3 linked regions of the Saccharomyces cerevisiae S288C genome follow. Changing the gene in region 2 together with the main gene of any one other region gives a genetic interaction. Each region holds a gene or a part of one and is shown on either strand. Other genes may lie near its edges. The genes, in order: KAR9, NDL1 and ABD1.

Evidence for each region.
Region 1: of NDL1 (region 2) and KAR9, changing one enhances a phenotype caused by changing the other (phenotypic enhancement), as found in Saccharomyces cerevisiae (one study listed by BioGRID).
Region 3: mutations in NDL1 (region 2) and ABD1 together harm fitness more than expected from each alone (negative genetic interaction), as found in Saccharomyces cerevisiae (2 studies listed by BioGRID).

The regions. Positions count from the first base shown.
Region 1 is NC_001148.4:29,897-37,700, forward strand, and holds KAR9 (Kar9p), read left to right. Parts: upstream 1-3,116; coding exon 3,117-5,051; downstream 5,052-7,804. Other genes in the region: ATP15 (F1F0 ATP synthase subunit epsilon), read left to right, coding at 183-371; ATP-binding cassette permease MDL2, read left to right, coding at 586-2,907; PLC1 (phosphatidylinositol phospholipase C), read left to right, coding at 5,340-7,804. UniProt on the Saccharomyces cerevisiae protein: Involved in karyogamy. Component of a cortical adaptor complex that orients cytoplasmic microtubules. It may be involved in anchoring cytoplasmic microtubules to the cell cortex.
Region 2 is NC_001144.5:641,946-648,468, reverse strand, and holds NDL1 (Ndl1p), read left to right. Parts: upstream 1-3,495; coding exon 3,496-4,065; downstream 4,066-6,523. Other genes in the region: HAP1 (Hap1p), read right to left, coding at 1-2,054; YLR255C (uncharacterized protein), read left to right, coding at 2,516-2,869; CQD2 (Cqd2p), read right to left, coding at 4,133-5,842; SYM1 (ethanol metabolism protein), read right to left, coding at 6,412-6,523. UniProt on the Saccharomyces cerevisiae protein: Required for nuclear migration to the bud neck during cell division.
Region 3 is NC_001134.8:687,582-695,214, reverse strand, and holds ABD1 (mRNA (guanine-N7)-methyltransferase), read left to right. Parts: upstream 1-3,521; coding exon 3,522-4,832; downstream 4,833-7,633. Other genes in the region: YBR238C (uncharacterized protein), read left to right, coding at 1-108; DEAD-box RNA helicase PRP5, read right to left, coding at 697-3,246; VHC1 (Vhc1p), read right to left, coding at 4,952-7,633. UniProt on the Saccharomyces cerevisiae protein: Responsible for methylating the 5'-cap structure of mRNAs.

The sequences.
Region 1 (7,804 bases), on a different chromosome or scaffold from region 2:
CTCACACTAAGTCTGGCAACGCGCTTATTTTTTAATACTTTTATACGAACCAATGAAATTTGATCCTCCCCTTTTTCGTCTAGTTAAATGAAGAGATACAAGTAGGCCTTTCTATTGAGTACTTAGCAAGATATGTATTTCTAAGAAACATCAACAGTTTCAGCCCACAACCGATTCATAAAATGTCTGCCTGGAGGAAAGCTGGTATATCATATGCTGCATATTTGAATGTGGCCGCTCAGGCTATCCGTTCTTCATTGAAAACTGAATTACAAACCGCTAGTGTTCTTAACAGATCGCAAACAGATGCTTTTTATACCCAATATAAAAATGGCACTGCAGCTTCTGAACCCACTCCAATAACAAAATAGTTTAACGCTTCCTGGGAACTGCAGCTCTTTTTTTACTCGCTGATATACATTTTAAATATTCTAGCAACTGTGTATGAAAACTTACGTACTTTTATACGGGAAACTAATAATGACTACAATGATATTGAATACTGGCCGCTTCGAAGAGTGGTATAAAGTTTGTATCATTGCATTAAAAGAAAAAGAAATATATGTCCCATCATCGCCAATCGCAATGTTGAATGGTCGTTTACCACTTTTGCGGCTGGGCATATGCAGAAACATGCTGTCCCGTCCCCGACTGGCTAAACTGCCATCTATAAGGTTTCGGTCTTTGGTCACCCCTTCTTCATCGCAGCTCATTCCTCTCAGTCGGTTGTGTTTAAGGTCACCTGCAGTTGGAAAATCACTAATTTTACAAAGTTTTAGATGTAATTCATCCAAAACAGTTCCAGAAACTTCTCTGCCTTCAGCCTCTCCCATATCTAAAGGATCAGCAAGGTCGGCACATGCAAAGGAGCAATCTAAAACTGATGACTATAAAGATATAATAAGGTTATTTATGTTGGCGAAACGGGATTGGAAACTGCTTCTTACAGCCATACTTCTTTTAACCATATCATGTTCCATAGGCATGTCTATTCCTAAAGTCATAGGTATTGTCCTTGACACACTTAAGACGTCATCTGGATCAGATTTTTTTGATTTGAAGATACCGATTTTTTCTTTGCCTTTATATGAGTTTCTTTCCTTTTTTACTGTTGCTTTACTGATTGGTTGTGCTGCTAATTTTGGTAGATTTATATTATTGAGGATACTAAGTGAGCGTGTTGTTGCACGCCTAAGGGCAAATGTCATTAAAAAAACGCTTCATCAAGACGCAGAATTCTTCGACAACCATAAAGTTGGGGATTTAATTTCTCGTTTAGGATCTGATGCTTATGTTGTTTCAAGATCAATGACCCAGAAGGTCTCGGATGGGGTCAAAGCCCTAATTTGTGGGGTTGTTGGCGTGGGGATGATGTGTTCTTTGTCACCTCAACTATCAATATTGTTACTATTCTTCACTCCACCTGTTCTTTTTAGTGCCTCAGTGTTCGGGAAGCAAATTAGAAACACCTCTAAAGACCTTCAAGAAGCTACTGGTCAATTGACTAGAGTCGCTGAAGAACAACTCTCTGGTATCAAGACGGTTCAGTCGTTTGTTGCTGAAGGTAATGAATTGTCTAGGTATAACGTTGCAATTAGAGATATTTTTCAGGTGGGAAAAACTGCGGCATTTACAAACGCAAAGTTTTTTACTACAACTAGTCTCTTAGGTGACCTAAGTTTTTTAACCGTCCTTGCGTATGGCTCCTATCTTGTTTTACAATCACAGCTCTCCATTGGTGATCTGACTGCATTTATGCTGTACACAGAATATACGGGGAATGCGGTATTCGGCCTTTCTACCTTCTATTCGGAAATTATGCAGGGTGCTGGGGCCGCTTCCAGGTTGTTTGAATTAACAGATAGGAAACCTTCCATTTCACCGACTGTGGGACACAAGTATAAACCAGATCGTGGTGTTATCGAATTTAAAGATGTTTCATTTAGCTACCCTACAAGGCCTTCTGTTCAAATATTCAAGAATTTAAATTTTAAAATTGCGCCAGGATCGAGTGTTTGTATTGTGGGCCCTTCAGGTCGTGGTAAATCTACAATTGCACTCTTACTGCTAAGATATTATAATCCCACTACTGGGACTATTACGATAGATAACCAAGATATCTCTAAATTGAATTGTAAATCCCTAAGAAGGCATATTGGTATCGTTCAGCAAGAGCCGGTACTGATGTCAGGTACTATTAGGGATAATATCACTTATGGGTTGACATATACCCCAACAAAGGAAGAAATCAGGTCAGTAGCAAAGCAGTGCTTTTGCCATAACTTTATCACAAAATTTCCGAACACATACGATACGGTAATTGGTCCTCACGGCACCTTACTAAGTGGAGGACAAAAGCAGCGTATTGCGATTGCAAGGGCTCTAATCAAAAAGCCAACTATTTTGATTCTTGATGAAGCTACATCAGCTTTAGATGTTGAAAGTGAAGGAGCCATTAACTATACGTTTGGTCAACTAATGAAATCAAAATCGATGACTATTGTTAGCATCGCGCACAGGCTAAGTACGATCAGAAGATCAGAGAATGTTATTGTCCTTGGCCATGATGGATCAGTGGTAGAAATGGGCAAATTCAAAGAATTGTATGCGAATCCAACAAGTGCTTTATCGCAATTACTTAATGAGAAAGCGGCTCCTGGGCCATCTGACCAACAACTGCAAATAGAGAAGGTCATCGAAAAGGAAGATTTGAATGAGAGTAAGGAGCATGATGACCAGAAAAAGGACGATAATGACGATAATGATAATAATCATGATAACGACAGCAATAACCAGTCTCCAGAGACGAAAGACAATAATTCAGATGATATTGAAAAATCTGTCGAACATCTCCTGAAAGACGCGGCAAAGGAGGCTAATCCAATTAAGATCACACCACAACCGTGAGTCATCCGCATCGCATATACCCATTCTTATCTCGCACATTTAAATATATACTATATATAATACTGTTAAATGCCAAATAAAAAGGATTTTCATTACCCGAATCGATACTTTTGGTAGCATAAACAAATAACATTGAAACAATAACAAAGTGTAATGTGGCCGCACGAATCTTTGTCTGTAACAGCCTTAAAGATTTCAGTAGCACTGCCATGGATAATGATGGACCCAGATCTATGACCATTGGGGATGACTTCCAAGAGAACTTTTGTGAACGTTTAGAAAGAATTCACAATACATTACATTCAATAAACGATTGCAACTCATTGAATGAGAGTACCACAAGTATATCAGAGACATTGTTAGTTCAATTTTATGATGATTTGGAGAACGTTGCCTCGGTAATTCCCGACTTAGTCAACAAGAAAAGACTGGGAAAAGACGATATTTTGTTGTTTATGGACTGGTTATTATTGAAAAAATATATGCTATATCAATTTATTAGTGACGTTCATAATATTGAGGAAGGTTTTGCTCATTTGTTGGATTTACTAGAGGATGAATTCTCGAAGGACGATCAGGATAGCGACAAATACAATCGATTTAGCCCGATGTTTGACGTCATAGAAGAATCTACACAAATTAAGACTCAGTTGGAGCCATGGCTTACTAACTTGAAGGAATTATTGGATACGTCATTGGAATTTAACGAAATTTCAAAGGATCATATGGATACATTACATAAAATCATTAATAGCAATATATCGTATTGTCTGGAAATTCAGGAAGAAAGGTTCGCGTCCCCGATACGGCATACTCCATCATTTACCCTAGAACAACTAGTCAAGTTATTAGGAACGCATACGGAGACAACTGAGCCAAAGGTACCAAAATTTTCTCCGGCAGAAGATATTTTATCAAGAAAGTTCTTGAACCTAAAAAAAAATATCCCTCCAATTGAAAAAAGTTTGACTGATATCCTACCTCAAAGAATTGTGCAATTTGGGCACCGGAATATAACAAACATAACTACTTTGCAAACAATCTTGCAAAAAAAATACGAGCTGATAATGAAAGATTATAGATTTATGAATTCAGAGTTTAGGGAATTGAAAGTCGAACTAATCGACAAACGTTGGAATATACTCTTTATTAATTTAAATCATGAACTATTATACATTCTTGATGAGATAGAAAGGTTGCAGTCGAAATTACTGACAACAAAGTATACCAAAGATATCACTATAAGGCTCGAGAGGCAATTGGAGAGAAAATCAAAAACTGTTTCTAAGACATTCAATATTATTTACAGAGCATTGGAATTCTCACTTTTGGACGCTGGCGTCGCATCGAAGACAAATGAATTAGCTCAAAGATGGCTGAATATCAAGCCTACAGCGGATAAAATTCTAATCAAATCCTCCGCTTCAAACAAAATAGCTACTAGCAAGAAGAAGATTCCAAAACCGAAATCATTAGGCTTTGGGCGACCGAATAGTGTTATTGGAACTATAACCCAGGATTTCCAGGAGAGAGTCGCCATTAATGAAGGTGACAGTAATAAAACACCGGAAAATTCAACTACAGTGGCTTTGAAAGGTAAAAAGCTTGGTAAAGCGTTACTGCAGAAGATGAATATTAAACCTGCAACAAGCCCAAATTCATCAAATGCGATTAATCCATTTTTTGATCCGGAGTCGCCAAACAAAGGAAAACTGATACTAAGTAGTGTTCCTCCCTTACCTTATGACGAAACCGATGAAACCACCCTCCGTGTTTCTCGTGGGGAAAATGAAAAGTCACCAGACTCCTTCATTACATCTCGGCATGAAAATAAAGTACAGATTACAGAAACTCCTTTGATGGCAAAGAATAAGTCTGTGCTTGACATCGAAAAAGATAAATGGAATCATTACCGGTCCTTGCCCTCTAGGATCCCTATATACAAGGATAAAGTGGTGAAAGTCACCGTAGAAAACACACCGATAGCAAAGGTTTTCCAGACTCCGCCAACAAAAATCACGACACCTAATAGTCAAGTTTGGGTCCCTTCGACAAGAAGAAGAACCCGATTGAGGCCTCCCACCCCCTTATCACAGTTACTTTCACCAAGAGAAGGGCGTTTAGATAAAACCCCAACTTATTGATACTAACCTAAAACTGTATACTTATACATTTTTATATATCCTCCCTCTCACCCTCTCCATTCATAGAATTTGTAATACTAGTTTAAATAATGTAATATTATGTGTAATTTTAAATAGTCCATGAAGATTCCGCACGTTTTCATTTTACAGTTTTTGACACCTTTACCCGACGCTTTATAAAAAAAATAGTATAAGCATCACGACATAAGCAGCCTCAGGTCATTAAAACAATAAAAGACTGGGAATTATAAACGTACAACGGTAAGGTCATTCACGCAGTGTATATGAATGACTGAAAGTGCTATAGATGACCAAAGGTTTAATCTTACAAAGGAGTTACAACGACACTCATGCAGAGATCAAGGGAAAATAACACAAAAGGATGATGCTTTAGATTTTATAAGTTACAGTTCTTTTCAATCCTCTTTTAATACTGACCAAAAAAGCGCGAACAATGGAAGTACTGTGAGAAGAAGCATAAGGTCGATTTTTAGAAGAGCAGCCGAATTGCCTAGAGTCCATATGGGGCCTCTTACTTATTCACATGGGATAAATGAGCTTGTTAACAAGAAATTAAGAAAAGACTGTGATCTCAGCACGCTATGTCGCGTATTGCAAAGAGGAATCAGGATGATTAGGATGACAAGAAGAAGAAGGAAGTTCTATGAATTTAAATTAATCAATAACAACGGGCAAATAATATGGAAAGATGGTTCGAAGTATCTGGAATTAGACTCCGTTAAAGACATCAGAATCGGTGATACGGCGAGTACTTATCAAGAGGAAGTAGATCCGAAAAGATTGAGATCGGACAGTAAACTTTGGATTGCTATTATTTATAAGGTTTCCAACAAATTGAAAGCGTTACACGTAGTTGCTTTGAATGAATTGGACTTTAACACATTCTTAAGCTGCATTTGCGGTTTAGTGAAGTTAAGGAGGGAATTAATGGAAAGCATACTTTTGCCTGATAATTCGCAATTCGCTAGGATACATTGGCAAATTACTGTTTCTGAAAAAGAGGAAGATGAGAAAAAGGACACATTGAGCTTTGCAGATGTGAAGAAACTATGTGATAAATTTCATATTTATGTGTCAACTGGTCAATTGTTAGAGTTTTTCCAATTAGCAGACATCAATCATAACGGACTATTAAATTATTTTGAATTTGAAAAGTTCATTAAAATCTTAAAGAATAGGAAAGAGGTAAATATGATTTGGTCTAAATTTACAAAACCTCCACACTCCCACTTATCATTTGAAAATTTTTTTCAATTTTTAATTACAGAGCAGCATGAGCAAGTGGATCGTCAAACTGCATGGTCATATTTTATTAAGTACAGAGAACCGACTCAGCTGACGATGGGGCAAGATGGTTTTACCAAGTTCTTGAAGGAGCAACCATATTTGGTGGAGGTTAAAGAGGAGTTATATTCAAAGCCATTAAACCATTATTTTATTGCATCTTCACATAATACTTATTTATTGGGGAAACAAATTGCAGAAACTCCATCTGTGGAGGGATATATTCAAGTCCTACAACAAGGTTGTAGGTGCGTAGAAATTGATATATGGGATGGTGAAAATGGGCCAGTGGTATGCCATGGATTTTTAACGTCAGCTATTCCCTTAAAAACAGTTATACGCGTGATAAAGAAGTACGCTTTTATAACGTCTCCGTATCCTTTGATTATTTCACTGGAAATAAACTGTAACAAGGATAATCAAAAATTGGCAAGCCTGATAATGAGAGAGGTTTTAGCAGAACAGCTGTACTTTGTTGGCACAAGAACTGATAAACTGCCATCACCAAGGGAATTAAAACATAAAATACTGTTGAAATCCAAGAAGACGAGTGAAGCAACTAGAGGTCTTAGCGTTAATGAGCCATTTCCATCTTCTTTTAGTTCTTCTTACGAATCAGCTAATGAACAGGAATTAAGAATGAAAGATGACTCCACGAACAGTAGTAGCGCAACAAATTCTTCTAGTATGCAACGCATCAAAAGAATTGGATTAAAAAAGCACGCTGATATAATTAATGATGTTTCTAACATTTCTGGAATACATGGCATCAAGTTCAGGAATTTCTCTTTACCAGAGTCCAAAACGATAGCGCATTGTTTTTCACTGAATGAGCGCAAAGTAGAATACATGATAAAAGACAAACACTTAAAATTATCGTTGGATAAACATAATAGAAGATATTTGATGAGAGTCTATCCTCACGTTTTACGATACAAATCATCAAATTTTAACCCAATACCTTTTTGGAAGGCCGGTGTACAAATGGTGGCTACGAATTGGCAAACTAATGATATTGGACAGCAACTTAATCTGGCAATGTTTCAAATATTAGATCACCAACCTGATGGAAGTTTTAAATCAGGATACGTGCTAAAACCAAAAAAGTTGCTACCTGTAGTAACAAAGGCGAAAATGATTCCATTAATTTACGAACATTTTGAAAATGGTAGTGATCCTGTTACTGTTAAAATTCGAATTTTATCTACACAGTTATTGCCCAGATTGAATGATACATCGCCAAGCAGAAATAACACCAATTCCTTTGTTAAAGTGGAGTTTCATACCGATGACGAGCCGACAATGCCCATCTCAATCGATAAGGGTACAAGGATTTCTGCCACTGAAGCATCCACTAAGAGTTCTCAAGGGAATGGATTCAACCCAATATGGGATGCTGAAGTTTCTATCACATTGAAAGATACAGACCTCACATTTATAAAATTCAT
Region 2 (6,523 bases):
AATAGGATCTGGTGAGACTCGGAATCGTGACCAGGATTGGCCATGCCAGTGTTGTTGGTATTTGTCAAGGTAGTCAAATCATTAGAGGCACTTTTCATATAGAAGTTGTAAAAAATGGCAAACTGCACCGTGGTTAAATTAACGTTGTTATTGGAAATACTAGAAAGTTCATCGAATTTAATCAAGTATTTTTGACATAGCTCCAGTGCCTCGACCGGTGTCTCATGCTTTAGCAGAAGTGATTCTTCTTTAGCCATCGAGGTCAATGCAGATGCAGACATATTGCTAGATTCGTTGGGCACTAAAAATGAGCCACTTTCTTCTCCCAGGTCGACTTCGCAGGAATTAGAAGGTATGGATAGCCATGTCAATCTCAAGATTATTATCAGAATACCTAAGTTACAAGAATCGGAAAGTTTTGGAAGATTGATTTGTGTTATGGGTTGGTTCTCTAGTGTAGATGAAGATGGCATGCTCATACCAAAGTTGTTAACTGTGGGATTCATCGAAGACAACGAAAGCATTTGATTCACGTGATTTTTGAAATTCTGTTCATCTAAGATTGGAATGGCAGGGTATAAATGTTTGAAGAATTTCTCGATGAATAATGCGATGACGCGCTTTGGTGGCAACATCTCACAAAGTGTTGCGAGGACTTCAGATTCTGTCATGTAGGAATCATGTTTCCTGCTTTGTGCGGGATGCGAACGAGCATGAGATCCGGACTGTGGTTGGTGGTGTGGGATGGTATTGTGCGTTGAAGCTGGTAAGGCCGCTGTATTTTTCATGCTTGAATGGTCAATGGGGCAACGACTTGCCGGGTTCGAAGAAGAATTTGCCATGTCAGAGGGATAATCCTTCATATAGTTTCTATGGTCCACAGGACATTTTGACTGAGGCGGATTCATTGTATGCTTGTTATGGTCTATCATAGCTTTAGTGGAAAATGGGGAAGGTGTCTCGTCCTTGGGCGGCATCATTCCTGCGGAATACATGGTGTGGTCAACGGGACACCTCTTCTGGGACGAAGTGTCCTCTCTGGGAGGAATCATTCCCGAAGAGAACATGGTGTGGTCAACTGGACATTTCCTAGGAAGAGGAGTCTCCTCCTTTGGGGCCACCATGCCAGACGAAAACGCGGAGTGATCAACAGGACATTTTCTGGTAGCGGCGGCAGCGGCAGAAGGCGGCGCTTGCGCGTGATTGATGGGACATTTGCTTGACTTCAGCTTAGAGTACGAATTTTTTTGGTAGTACCATTCATTTAACTTTTCCCTCATAGCGAAGATATGACCCCACAAAAGTTTTAGGTACGGGTCACCTTTCATGATAGACAACCAGTGGGTGGCACCTAAGTGGATGGTTCCGTTACTTTTGATATGCAAAAGATCAAAGTCCTTAGTTAAGTCCAGCTCATCGTTGTCATATTTATTTGAGATAGAAAGGGACGAGGAATTCGCGTTGGCGTTCGCACTTCTGGAAAAGTCTTGTTGTTGTTCCTGTTGCTGCTGTTGCTGTTGTTGCTGATGCATATGCGAGGCAGAGGAAGCAGAGCCTGTATTTGCATTAACAAGGGTGGTGTGTTCATCGCTACCCATAAACAGGTTGCTGCTCTCGGGAGTGTTGTAACTTTTCAAGGAGTTAGACGAAGGAGAAGAGTGCACCTTAGAAAGAGTCTTTTCTAAAGATTTTACGCGCTCCCTAAGCTTCTTTAATTCGTTGTCCTTCAGCAATTCTTTCTCTGCCTCTTCTGCCCAGGTCTGTTCCATGTAGTGGCAGAGATGGGCTACCCCAGTTTTAGTGCACTGCTGGCAGTGTGGTCTGAGTTTGTCACATTTGACTTTCCTTTTCCGACAAATGGTGCAACTGAGCGGAATTCTGTTACGCTTCCTCTTGATCTTGGACGAATCTGAAGACATGTGCAAGGGTGGAGAGTTAGAGCTGGTGTTGGCACCGGGCGTAGTTGCTGTATGCATGTTAGGACTTCTTGAGACCGAAGACTGGGTCATGGATGCAATGGAAGGCACAGATGAATTATAAGGGGTATTCGACATCTAACCTATTGTTCCCTTTTTTTTTTTTTCTTTTTCTTCTATTTCCTTACCTTCTTGCCTGCGACTGGAGAAAAACTAAAAGGCCAAATTGAAAGGGAAGAAAAATTTTCTGCGAAAACAAAACAAGATGCTTTGATAAAAGGAAGTTGATGGAATGAGGTTCGATGAGATGAAATCAGATACAATTTTGTGCAATATCTTCAAACCTTAAAAGAGCACTGCAGGAACCTATTCTTTGGGAGAACAATAGCGTCTGTGTGCTTGCGGTATCTTGAGTTGTGAGTCTCAAATGTGTGCTTTGCATCTCGAAGAATAATAGAAAAAACCGAAAACCGAAAAAAATTGTGCCTCAAGAGTATATCCGATATATATGAACGCGATCGAGTTACCGGGGCCGTTGCTGGTGCCGTTGCCTGGTATTCTAAACGAGGCCGCGAGGGTGGATTTCGCCCGACGGGTGAATGGGTGTGGGTGGAACGAGGATTGTATCGTTTAGACAGCCGAATTATTACCCGGTTACTCAACAAAAAGGGGCAAGCCAGACAGGTGCAGTGGCTCAGCCGTACAGCTCGTACTGTGGTTTGCTAATGCGCTGGGCGGTTGTTGAGATAAGAAGAAGAGGGAAAGGGAAAGGAAGAAAGAGGAAGAGAGAGAGAGAGAAAGGGCACACGAAATTCAGGATACGGCGGAGGAGTTATCTTTATTTTATACGGTCTTGCCTTGTAAGGCCCTACTCAAGCGGGAACAAGAAAAACAGTTGTAGCTTCCACAAGATGTTGGCTATAGAGATTGTTCTGTGCTTAAAGGCTCGCTAATCAATATTTCTTGAAGTACGATTTCTGTGTGTATAGATTCTCCACAATTGTTTTTCTTAGTGAGGCTCCGCCACGATCGCGTCTTGCCATCATCGTCCATCCATGGAAAAGAGCTACAAAAAACGACTGCTGGTGTACATACAATGCTCTGGGTTTCGTACATTTGCTTACTAAGTGACAGAAGCGTTCATCGATCCTTCGAAAAGGGTAACAGCGGAAAAACAGGAAATATTGGCTACATACTATAACTCAACAACGTATCATGAACTATTCCGCATATTCGTAACCTTATTTGTAGCGCAGTAAAGCCGCTAAAGAGGTCTTCTCCTATCGGATCTTGCTTTTTTCTTCCTTTTTTTTTTTTTTTTACAATAGAACAATAAAAAAACTGAACGTTCTCTATATCATCTGTGACGGCAAGTATCAATTATTTTATCAATTAGTTTGCAGAATCGGGAAAATTAATAACATTAGAAATGAAAGTTTTCATACATAAATTTGCAATTAAGGATGAAAAAGAGGGATAATAAGGGCTACAACAAACCACGAACGGCCGAAAGAACAATCCTCGCAAATTTAATTGGAATATCCAAGGGACATATACGTGCAACAATTGCGACTTTCCTATGGTGCCGAATTTGGATTTGGAAACAGCTATACAGATAATCTCCTCACTGGAGACCCAGTTGAGCGAGCTTGAAGGCGCCACGAAAGAATATGAAAATGATTTGGAACAAGTAATATCAAAGTTAAAAAGCGATCTTCTTGAGAGCCAACAACAAAATAAGTGCAATAAGAAACAGATAACAGATTTAGAGATACAGGTAGATGAGTTGGAAAATGAAAATATCCAACTGAGGAATAAGATAGAGACATTACAATTGGAGAGTGACCGACGACTGGAACGCAACGTTCTACTGGAACACGAGTTACTCGACACCAAAGAGGCGCTGCAAAAGTTAAGAGTCAGCAAAGAAGAAGCCACTAGCGGTGAGACTAGAAGGAACACCAGGTCGTTACCCAGTCAAAATAAAAAAATGAAGTTGTTTAAGGATACTATCAAAGTCTCGACCACATCTTCAACCTTGTACTTGCAGAACATGGCAAAAACTAACAACGCTGCAAGAAGTCACTGTAATATTCCAAATACCCAAATAACACAATCCACTGTGATAGCAACAACGTCTTCCGTTTAATGACACATATAAAATTGTTATATATAATTTTACGTATATATTTACAAGTAGAAAGAACGCTAACGATTTAAGATGACAACCAAGTCTTCGGAATAAATTTTTTCCACCACAACACAAAATCATAAAAATACAATTGATTAATACGCCTCTCATAGACTATCCAGTTTGTCAAGTTCTCCCACATCCATTTAATAGACCACCTCGCATACTCCGAATTAATTCTTTCCACTTTTTCGTCGTAGACCGTCTTGGCGCAGTATTGCGTCATGATCAGGAAAGTCCTCTCTGGCCCGAGTGGATTCTGTAGACATTCATCAAGATGTCTGGTTAGGTCGTTAGTCTTCAATATCAAAAGCACTACACGAGGGATTCTAGACAAAATGCTCATCAAGTCGCTCAGTAACGTTCCTTCCAAGATCCCATTTGCCATGACGTCCATTTCTTCTTGTGTTCGACTCGTTGAAATGTCGTAATTCAAAGCAGCATCAATGCTACGGCCCGTAATTGCAGCCGCTAAAAGGGGAAACTGTTCGTCGGTGATGTTTGCGAATCCTTTGGCATACTTCTTCATTTTTGTCTGGTCCTTGTCGAATAGGAGCGACAACCAAAATTTGGCATAAAGTCTTCTTGTTCTCGTGCTAGGATATCTATAGAGTCCGTGGTCAAATAAAACAATTTCAAAGTTATGGTATCCATTATCTTTAGCGGGCTTAACAGATCGTATGGCCAGATTTCCTCCATGAGGATCACAATGAATACCTACATTGGGAGTAAAAATCATGTTATTGAAAATATGAGAGAGACAACTCGAAACTTCACTGCGCGAGATACCGTGACTGTCAATGTACTCCAAATCATCCAACCTTTTGCCTCCAACATATTCCATAATCAAAATTCTTTTGTGGCTTTCAATGACCTTGGGTATTTTCAATGCTGTTTGCTTCTTGAACTTACTAAAATAATGACGGGTTTTTTCTGCATTTTCAGCTTCTTTGGTAAAATTCAGTTCCACGTAGATTGAAGACTGAAGCTCATCACCAAGCCACGTTAACGGATAATCAGGGAAGAAGACATCCAGCAGTTCAAACACTGTTCTTGTCAGCATAACATCTAATGGTATAAACTCCTTCAACGATGGATGCTGACATTTGACAGCTACACTAGAACCTTTACCGTCACTATTTTTTAGTTTTGCCACATGAACCTGTGCCAAGGAAGCTACACCTATCGGGGTTTTGTTGAATTCTAAAAACATATCCTCAATGCTGGTGCCTAGATCTTCTTTAAATAACTCATCAATTTCTTCGTAGGTGGATTCGGGACAGTGGTCTTGCAACGGTATCATTGTATCCGTCCATTCTTTAGGCAACAGGTAGGTCATGGCCCCAATGTGCTGGCCTAATTTGATATATATCCCACCATTCGATCGTAGCGCATGCAACGTGATTAAGGCACACATCTTATGACATTTATTTAAGGCAACTTCTCGTTCTTTTTTGTTCTCATAGCTTTTATTTAGAGCCCTCTTGTAATGGTAGAAGCAACGAGTGGTAGCTTGTGTGACGACAGCGATTCTTTTAGTCGTCAGTGCCGTGTGCTTTACAGAATCATGAAAAGTGTCATTAAAGTTGTACAAAACTACTGCTGATGCAATAGTCCCACCCACCAGAAGAGATTTTCTTGTCCTGGGGCTTCTTTGAGGGATGCTTTTACCTGTCCTAACGTACCGACGGAATACCTCAAACGGTAGTTTGTTAAAAAAAGCTTTGGTCATCATCTACTATCAACACCGAATAAGAAACATTCAACTATAATCTTGCTCCGTTTCAGGCTCAATAAACTTTCAGACTGATTCTTTCCAGTTACGAAGGTAGGAGTACAATATGCATACATAACGCAGCGATTTACAAGATATGTTCCTCGGGTCTATGTTTTGACCTCTTTTAACGGCATATGAAAAAACCTTTGAAAAAATGAAATATTATATAAAGGTCCAGAACCCACAGTGGTACTAAAAGGCCCACTTAAGTCTCACACCTAATTAAACACCTTTGCATAAACGGTAGCTGAAGAACAACAGGCATGACCGCAATAGTGAAATGTTAGCTACTATTTCCTCTATAAAAGAAGTACGAATGTAATTAAATAAATTGTTCCTGACCAAGCACATCTGTAAAGGAAAAGCAGATTGCTAGCCAACTTTGGTGACTCAAATATTTATGAAGTTGGTCTGCTCTCTGCCGAAAGTCTATTAGGTATATGCTGTTCCAGTACCCCAAGGAACAAGGTCTGATAAATATGCTAGTTGAATTCCAAATATTTTCAAAATCAGGATTTCTTATCCAGTTATTCGACCACGGGTGGATAATGAACAGGTACCTTGTCTTTCTCCATAACCTTTGAGTTTTTATAAGATAAGTAAGTGTTCCAAAATATTGCAACGACATTAACAGCTAGT
Region 3 (7,633 bases), on a different chromosome or scaffold from region 2:
GCTGTCAAATATTCCGTTTTGCAAGAAGTTTTGAACCAATTCCAAACTTTAATCGTTAACGATATTCCTATTCCTGAATTACATAATTTGAAGCCAACGTGTGTTTAAAGTTAATATCCTTCACTTTTCACCTTCTTTCTCTACAGAACAAAAAAAGAAAGAAGAGTAACAATTTCAAATTTATATTCCCTATGAATTGATGTGATAAACTTACCATTATTAATATTATTATTCGATTGTCAGTTTTTCCCTTCCTTATTTTTATCGTTATTTCATTATTTTTTATTTGTCATATCACATCTCAAATCAACTAAAAAACTATTATTATATTCTTCAAGCCTACCATTTTCTTGATAAATTTTTTTGAAGTTACTTTTATTCCATGTTTTGTTTTTATTTGCTTTTCTACTTTTATTTTCCCCTCTTAATTTTTTTTTAAAGCATTTACCTTTCATTATATCCTATGAATTCTCATTGTTTCTTTCCCACTTTTTTAAATTCCATTTTATTCGAATCGATAAAAATTTCAAGATTTTTTTCTACATCATATATTATATATTATTTTGTTTTTATTTTTCCTAATAATTCTCTTTTTTTTTTTTTATTATGATTGAATATGCTTTAAATTACCACCCTAAAAATTTCAGAACTAACTACGAAAGTATATAGCACCACGAGTGAGTTAAATTCTAAAAACTAGTATTTAGTACTCTTCAAAGACAAGCTTGCAGCCTTTACGACCCCCTCTTTAACTTTTTGCTCCAGCAATTCTATACTTAATTGTATGTCTTTCTCATCTTGGCCTTCGATCAATAAGTATAGTTTAGGCTCATCGTTTTCATTCTTTGGTTCCTTCCCTTCAGGGTAAAATTTACCCTTGTTAGTAATACTACATCCGGTTTCATGCTTGATAAATAATAAGGTTGTATTCTTTGTAGCCTCCCATCTTACAATCTGGGGTAAATCATTAATATAAACCTTGGCGTAAAAGATGATCGACCCGTCTGTAGACTCTTTGAATAGTTCATAATTGAGTCTCGGAATAAGCGCAGAAGACTCAGACACACTGTCATGCCCTTCGCGTGGATTGCTGATTTTCTTTTCCAAGTCATCGCTCCTCTTATCATTCTTTTTGAGCTCCAAATCTTTATTTTGAGCTTCCTCTCTTTTACTTTTGATATTTTCCAGTCCTTTGCCGCCGAACCCTTTCGACAACCTAAACTTACCCTTTTTCATACCGGATTCAAACTTGGCACTCATTTCCTGAAGTTCTTTTGCTTGCAGAGGGTCTAAAGCTTTTATTTCTTCATCGCGCATTGCCTTGCTCAAGATATAAGCACCTGACAGTTCATCATGCAATAGAAGAGTAATAGCAGTACCGGAGCGACTACCTCTGGCAGTTCTTCCAGTAGTATGAACATATTGCGCGAAAGTTTTGACGGCGTTATAGATAATAACCAACGACACTTCGGGAACATTTAAACCTCTTGAGAGAACCTCTGTACAGAGAAGAATACTGTTCTTTTCTCGTTTGAACTTTTCTAAGTTCATAAGCCTTTCTTGATATGGCTTACCTGCATGAATAGCACAGGTCACAATTCCAGCATTTAACAGCTTTTTTGAAATGAAGTCGCAAATATTCTGACTTGATACAAATATAATGGCTTTAGCATCAACTTCTTCAACATCGCTTGACTGTCCGTCATTTTCACTTTGAACCTCGTCAAAAAATTCACTGCGCTCATGGATAAGCTGCACCAGATTGTCAAATTTTTCATCTTCTGAATGGCATATTCTAAACTTTTGTTTTACGTTTTCATTAACCATTCCCTTTGAATTAATCGTAATAGATATTGGGGAATGCAAAACTCTTACGGCAAAACTGCGTAGTTTGTTCGGAAAAGTTGCACTAAATAGAACACACTGTTTATCCGGTCGAACAGTTTTCATGATTTGCGTTATTTGAGGTTCAAAACCTAAATCGAACAGCCTGTCTGCCTCATCCATTACTACGAACGTTATTCTTTTAGTACTAAGTAATTTCCCATCATTTAGTGTTAATATATCAATAAATCGTCCCGGTGTGGCAACAACAATCTCAGTGCCTCTTTTAAGATCAGTAATCTGCTTTTTCATTTCAGAACCTCCTGTACAGCATACTGATCTAATGGATGTATCTGCTTCTGTGAATTTAGTAACTTCTTCATGTATTTGTAAAGCTAGCTCTCTAGTTGGAGCCAGAATTAAACCCATGGGCCCTGTTTCATGTTTTGATAATGGCCGTTGAGCTTTTACTTGTCTTAGCAATGGTAAAAGATAGGAGATGGTCTTGCCGGAGCCAGTTTTTGATATTCCTATAACATCACGACCTGACATAATAGCGGGAAGAGCCTGGGATTGAATAGGCGTTAAGGAGCCAAAGTGCAACTTTTCTGTAATTAAAACCATGGTGTCCGTTGATAGTCCCAGTTGAGACCACTTTGTGACTGGTTTGGGGCAACCTGTTCCCTTTATTTTGATATTATCCAGACTAAGTCTAAGCTCCTCAACTTCCATCTCTGACATCGAGGAAACTGTTTCAGATTCTATATAAAAATTTTTTTGGAACGGCTCAAGCTCTTCTGGAGAGTAATAAATTTGCTTTACACGTTTTTTTGCTTTGAGTTTAGCAATTTTCGCTATATTAGAATTATCCGTATTATCTTCAACATCCTCATCGTCGGTTCCTCCAAGTTCAAACAATTGATCCTCTACATCAAGAATGTCGCCTCTGTCGTACATGCCTTTACTATTACTCATTTTCTCCTCCTTCAATGACGTCATAAACTCATCCAGTGGATCTTTTTCATTATCATGCTCTGGAGCTTTTTGAATGTGCTCCTTCGATCTAAAAGAAACTCCTATTTCAGAATCATCGTCATCACTGAAGTCGAAGGATATTTTCTTCTTTACCTTACTTCTCTTCGACTTTTTCTTCGAAGGCTTAACCGATACAGGTTCGTCAGATTTCCTAAATTCATTTTTTCTCTTCCGAAGCTCTTCTTTTACACGTTCCTGTCTTTCCGTAAACTTTTCAGTAGTCTGCTTACCTTCTAAACTGTTAGTAACAATGTCATTGCGTGAAGTTTGATGCTCTTTCTGAGCATCAAATTGTGCTTTTTTTTGTTTCCATTTTGCTAGTTTTTTCCTCCTTTCCTCCAATAAAGACTCCCTATTAATATTTTGCTTCGAATCAATAGTTTCCATACCTCAAATAAACCCAAGGCAACAGCGTTATGATTTCCCTTCTCGAATTATTTGGCGCTGTATTATATTAGAAAGAACTCTAATACCTTTAGTTTGGTCCATTGCTCTAAATGACTTTAATTAGTTTCATCTAATCCGGGTAATGGTAAATCAAGATATTTCAACATAAATTAGAAGATTTCTTATTTTAATCCTTTACATGTGAGACACTTTTCCGATTAATGTGACAACTACTACAACGTGGAGTCGTCCATTATCCGTCTTAGAAAAGTAGAATGTCAACCAAACCAGAGAAGCCAATATGGATGTCACAAGAAGACTATGACCGTCAGTACGGCTCAATTACTGGTGATGAATCGTCCACAGTCTCAAAAAAAGACTCCAAAGTTACTGCCAATGCGCCTGGTGATGGTAATGGATCATTACCAGTTTTGCAAAGCAGCTCTATCCTTACTTCTAAGGTGTCTGATCTACCCATTGAGGCAGAATCCGGGTTTAAAATCCAAAAGAGAAGACATGAAAGGTATGATCAAGAGGAAAGATTACGCAAACAGCGTGCTCAAAAATTGAGAGAAGAGCAACTAAAGAGACATGAAATAGAGATGACTGCAAATAGATCCATAAATGTTGACCAGATTGTCCGAGAGCACTATAATGAACGTACAATAATCGCCAATCGCGCTAAGAGGAATCTATCGCCTATTATTAAGCTTCGTAATTTTAACAATGCGATTAAGTATATGTTAATTGACAAATATACAAAACCTGGAGATGTCGTTTTAGAACTCGGATGTGGCAAAGGTGGTGATTTAAGAAAATATGGTGCTGCAGGTATTTCACAGTTTATTGGTATTGACATTTCCAATGCCTCTATCCAAGAAGCTCATAAGAGATACCGGTCCATGAGAAATTTGGACTACCAAGTTGTGCTAATTACTGGGGATTGCTTTGGCGAATCATTAGGTGTTGCAGTAGAGCCCTTCCCAGACTGTAGATTTCCGTGTGATATCGTTTCGACGCAATTTTGCTTGCATTATGCTTTTGAGACCGAAGAAAAAGCAAGGAGAGCTTTACTGAATGTCGCCAAATCACTCAAAATTGGTGGTCACTTTTTTGGCACGATACCAGATTCAGAATTCATTCGTTATAAACTGAATAAATTTCCCAAAGAAGTGGAAAAGCCATCTTGGGGAAACTCCATTTATAAAGTGACATTTGAGAATAATTCATACCAAAAGAATGATTATGAGTTCACATCGCCTTATGGTCAAATGTATACTTATTGGCTAGAAGATGCTATAGATAATGTTCCTGAATATGTTGTGCCATTCGAAACCTTAAGAAGTTTGGCTGATGAATACGGTTTGGAACTAGTATCGCAAATGCCTTTTAATAAATTTTTTGTCCAAGAAATTCCCAAATGGATTGAGAGGTTTTCGCCTAAAATGAGGGAAGGTTTACAAAGATCTGATGGTAGATATGGTGTTGAAGGGGATGAAAAGGAAGCGGCATCATATTTCTATACCATGTTTGCATTCCGTAAGGTAAAACAGTATATCGAACCGGAAAGCGTAAAGCCCAACTGAAATAAAAATGAATAGAAACAATAACCCTACTATAAAGCATCTGTATTTCGGCCGTATTACAAGACTTCTATATGTAGTAAATAAGTTCTGGGGAAATGCATAACGATATATGTGTTATTCTATAATGCAGTAGTTACTGTCATGGTTTGCGAATTGATTAACATGCATGGAGGTAAGCCCTCCAACCAAATATCCAAGTCCTCGACATATTGTAAACTTGCATCGTGATCTTCATGTGTTCCAAGAGCTGGAACTGGCAAGGTTGAAAAAATTAAATCCGAACTCTTTGACATTTGTGTCATCACATCATTCAGAACCAAATGTTGAGCAGTGCTGGGAAGATCATTGAAACCTAAATTTTGCATCGCTGTGACTAAACTATCTTTTGAACAACAAGGTGATAATTCGGGAAGAACCGGTTTCTTTAATTTGTTGCCGTTGCCAATACCGCTCCCAGTACCGTTCCCATTCGAAAGGTCAGGTTCGGCAATTGGGATCAGTGTCGGCTGTTCACCCGTGCCATCTTCCACGACTCTCGTCCTCGGCAAAGTATTACTCGAGAAAACGGGTCTTAACGACTGTGTTGACACATCGCTTTGTAAATTCTTTACGAGTAAATTTGTTCTGTCGGAACCGGTCTTCGATTTGGTCGTTAAGTCCTTACCTACTGAAATATTAGTCGATGCCGAGAAGGCATCACGAATTGACGTAAGATCTGTATCCAAATCGGAGTCCTCACTCTCGCATGGGGTATCAATGCGGTTAGTTGGCATTCTCGTATTCATTGTAAATGAGACACCCAATTTCTGAACCCCAGACGTATATTTTCTTGATTGTGTAAATTGCTTTGCTATCGTTTGAGGTTCAATAGTGGAAAACCTCCGCTTCGGTTTTAATGTATCACGAGCTTCAACCAAATCTTTCCACCATTCATTATCGGCCAATTTCGAGTTGACATAATCAAACACGATTGGGTCTCCCTTGACAATTGTGTTGTATACTCTGAATTGATCTAAAGATACTACCAAAACCTCTGCGTCAATTCTTAGAACCTGTAATAGCTTTTTCATTCGTTGAGTTTCGTTCGTTCTATGATATTCTTGTTCCACAAATAAAATAACTCGAAGCGAATGTGTGCGCTTCCATTCAGGAACAGTAACCAAAATGGCAGCTAATTGTAGAATCAGTGTATACGTATCAAAGTTAGTAGTGATAGCCGCAGGCTGGTCACCCTTTGCCTCAACTTTTCCGCACATTTGGATGGGATAAAGATCTATAGTTTTTTTTGGAAAGCAGCTGTCCCTTTTGTTCGGTATCTCTAAATTTTTGAATCCATGCGCTATGGCAATATTGGATTGCATCAGTGATAGATCTTCTACAATTTGAACCCATTGTTGTACATTAACTTTGGTTTCATTTTTACACTCATCCGTAGGCAATGGAACATTGATTTTGACATCAGAGCATGTACTACGTGGCACTGTAGCTTTTATTTCCACCTGTTTCTGAAGGTTATTTTGGCTGCGACTTTGTGGGATGTGCTTTCTATAACTTTCGAGGTCAAAAAAACCGACAACAGTAATGTTTGGTTTCATACCTCCAAGCCCGGAACCAATAAAAACATTCCTAATTCCCCATATAAGGGAGGGACCAGTCCCAACTTGGACAAAAGCCTTTATTGCTGCCATGTCTCTGATCTTCATCCAAGCTTTCTGCTGAGTTTTTAATTCATTTAGTTGCTTCGGAAAATCCGCAGTTACTGCAACATGGCCTAAAATATACAAACCACCTTTTTTCAAATGATTGCAAAACCTTATTAAGTTCCAGCTCGTCCTTGGATTATCTACAAACAGCAATATTTGAGGCCTCCAGTATTTAATATTGTCTTGACGTAGGCGAAGCAAATACTTTCTCACTTGATGATATATTAAACTTTGAGACACATCACCCCAAGACTTCGGTGGTGAAAAATAATGAATGAATAAAAATAGCAAAATCATAGCCAAAAACAAGACAGACGCTGAGATGCCATCAACTATTAACATCGCAACAACAGAAAGTAATGCGCCAATTGCTGTAGTATACCTGTTAAAGTATTTGAAAGAGGGCCTGAAATTGGGAGCAGAGGAAATACCTAATAGGAAGCACGCCAAATTCATGACCACAAACGTCATTAAGAATGTCATTGTGATAAATGTGGCGATTTTATTGACGTCTGAAAACAAACATAGCTGTGTTAGAATCCAAGTAAAAATCAATGAATATAACGGTGAATGAGCAAAAATCTCCAAACCAGGAATAATGTTATCCTTTGCAATTGCTTCTAATACATAAGCAGCACCGAGCATCCCCACTATGATGGAGAAAAGAGAAGTAGCCATTTCACCCATGAATATAACCCACTGAACGGAACTGATCGTCTGTATAATTTGTACTTCATCATATAACGATCTTCTGGGAATGGAACAACCCATGGAGAAGACAACAACGGCATAACAGATAAAAGTGAAAAGTAAACCCCATAAGGTACCCTTAGGAATTGATTTAGAGGGCTTTCTCAATTCACTTGACATTCCTGCGCCCGCGAATATACCAGCTGTAGCAGGAAAAAAAACGCCAAATAAATCATTGAATGTTTCCTTACCTTTGAGTAACGAACCTGCTGCACCTTTTGTTAAGTGAGGGAGCAGGTTATCATGAAAAGTTTGCCATGAAGGACCTGTATAACTGATACCGCCTTCAGTGAATGGCGATCTTATCAATGCAGAAAGTGGAATGGAAAATATAGAAGCTGCCAGTAC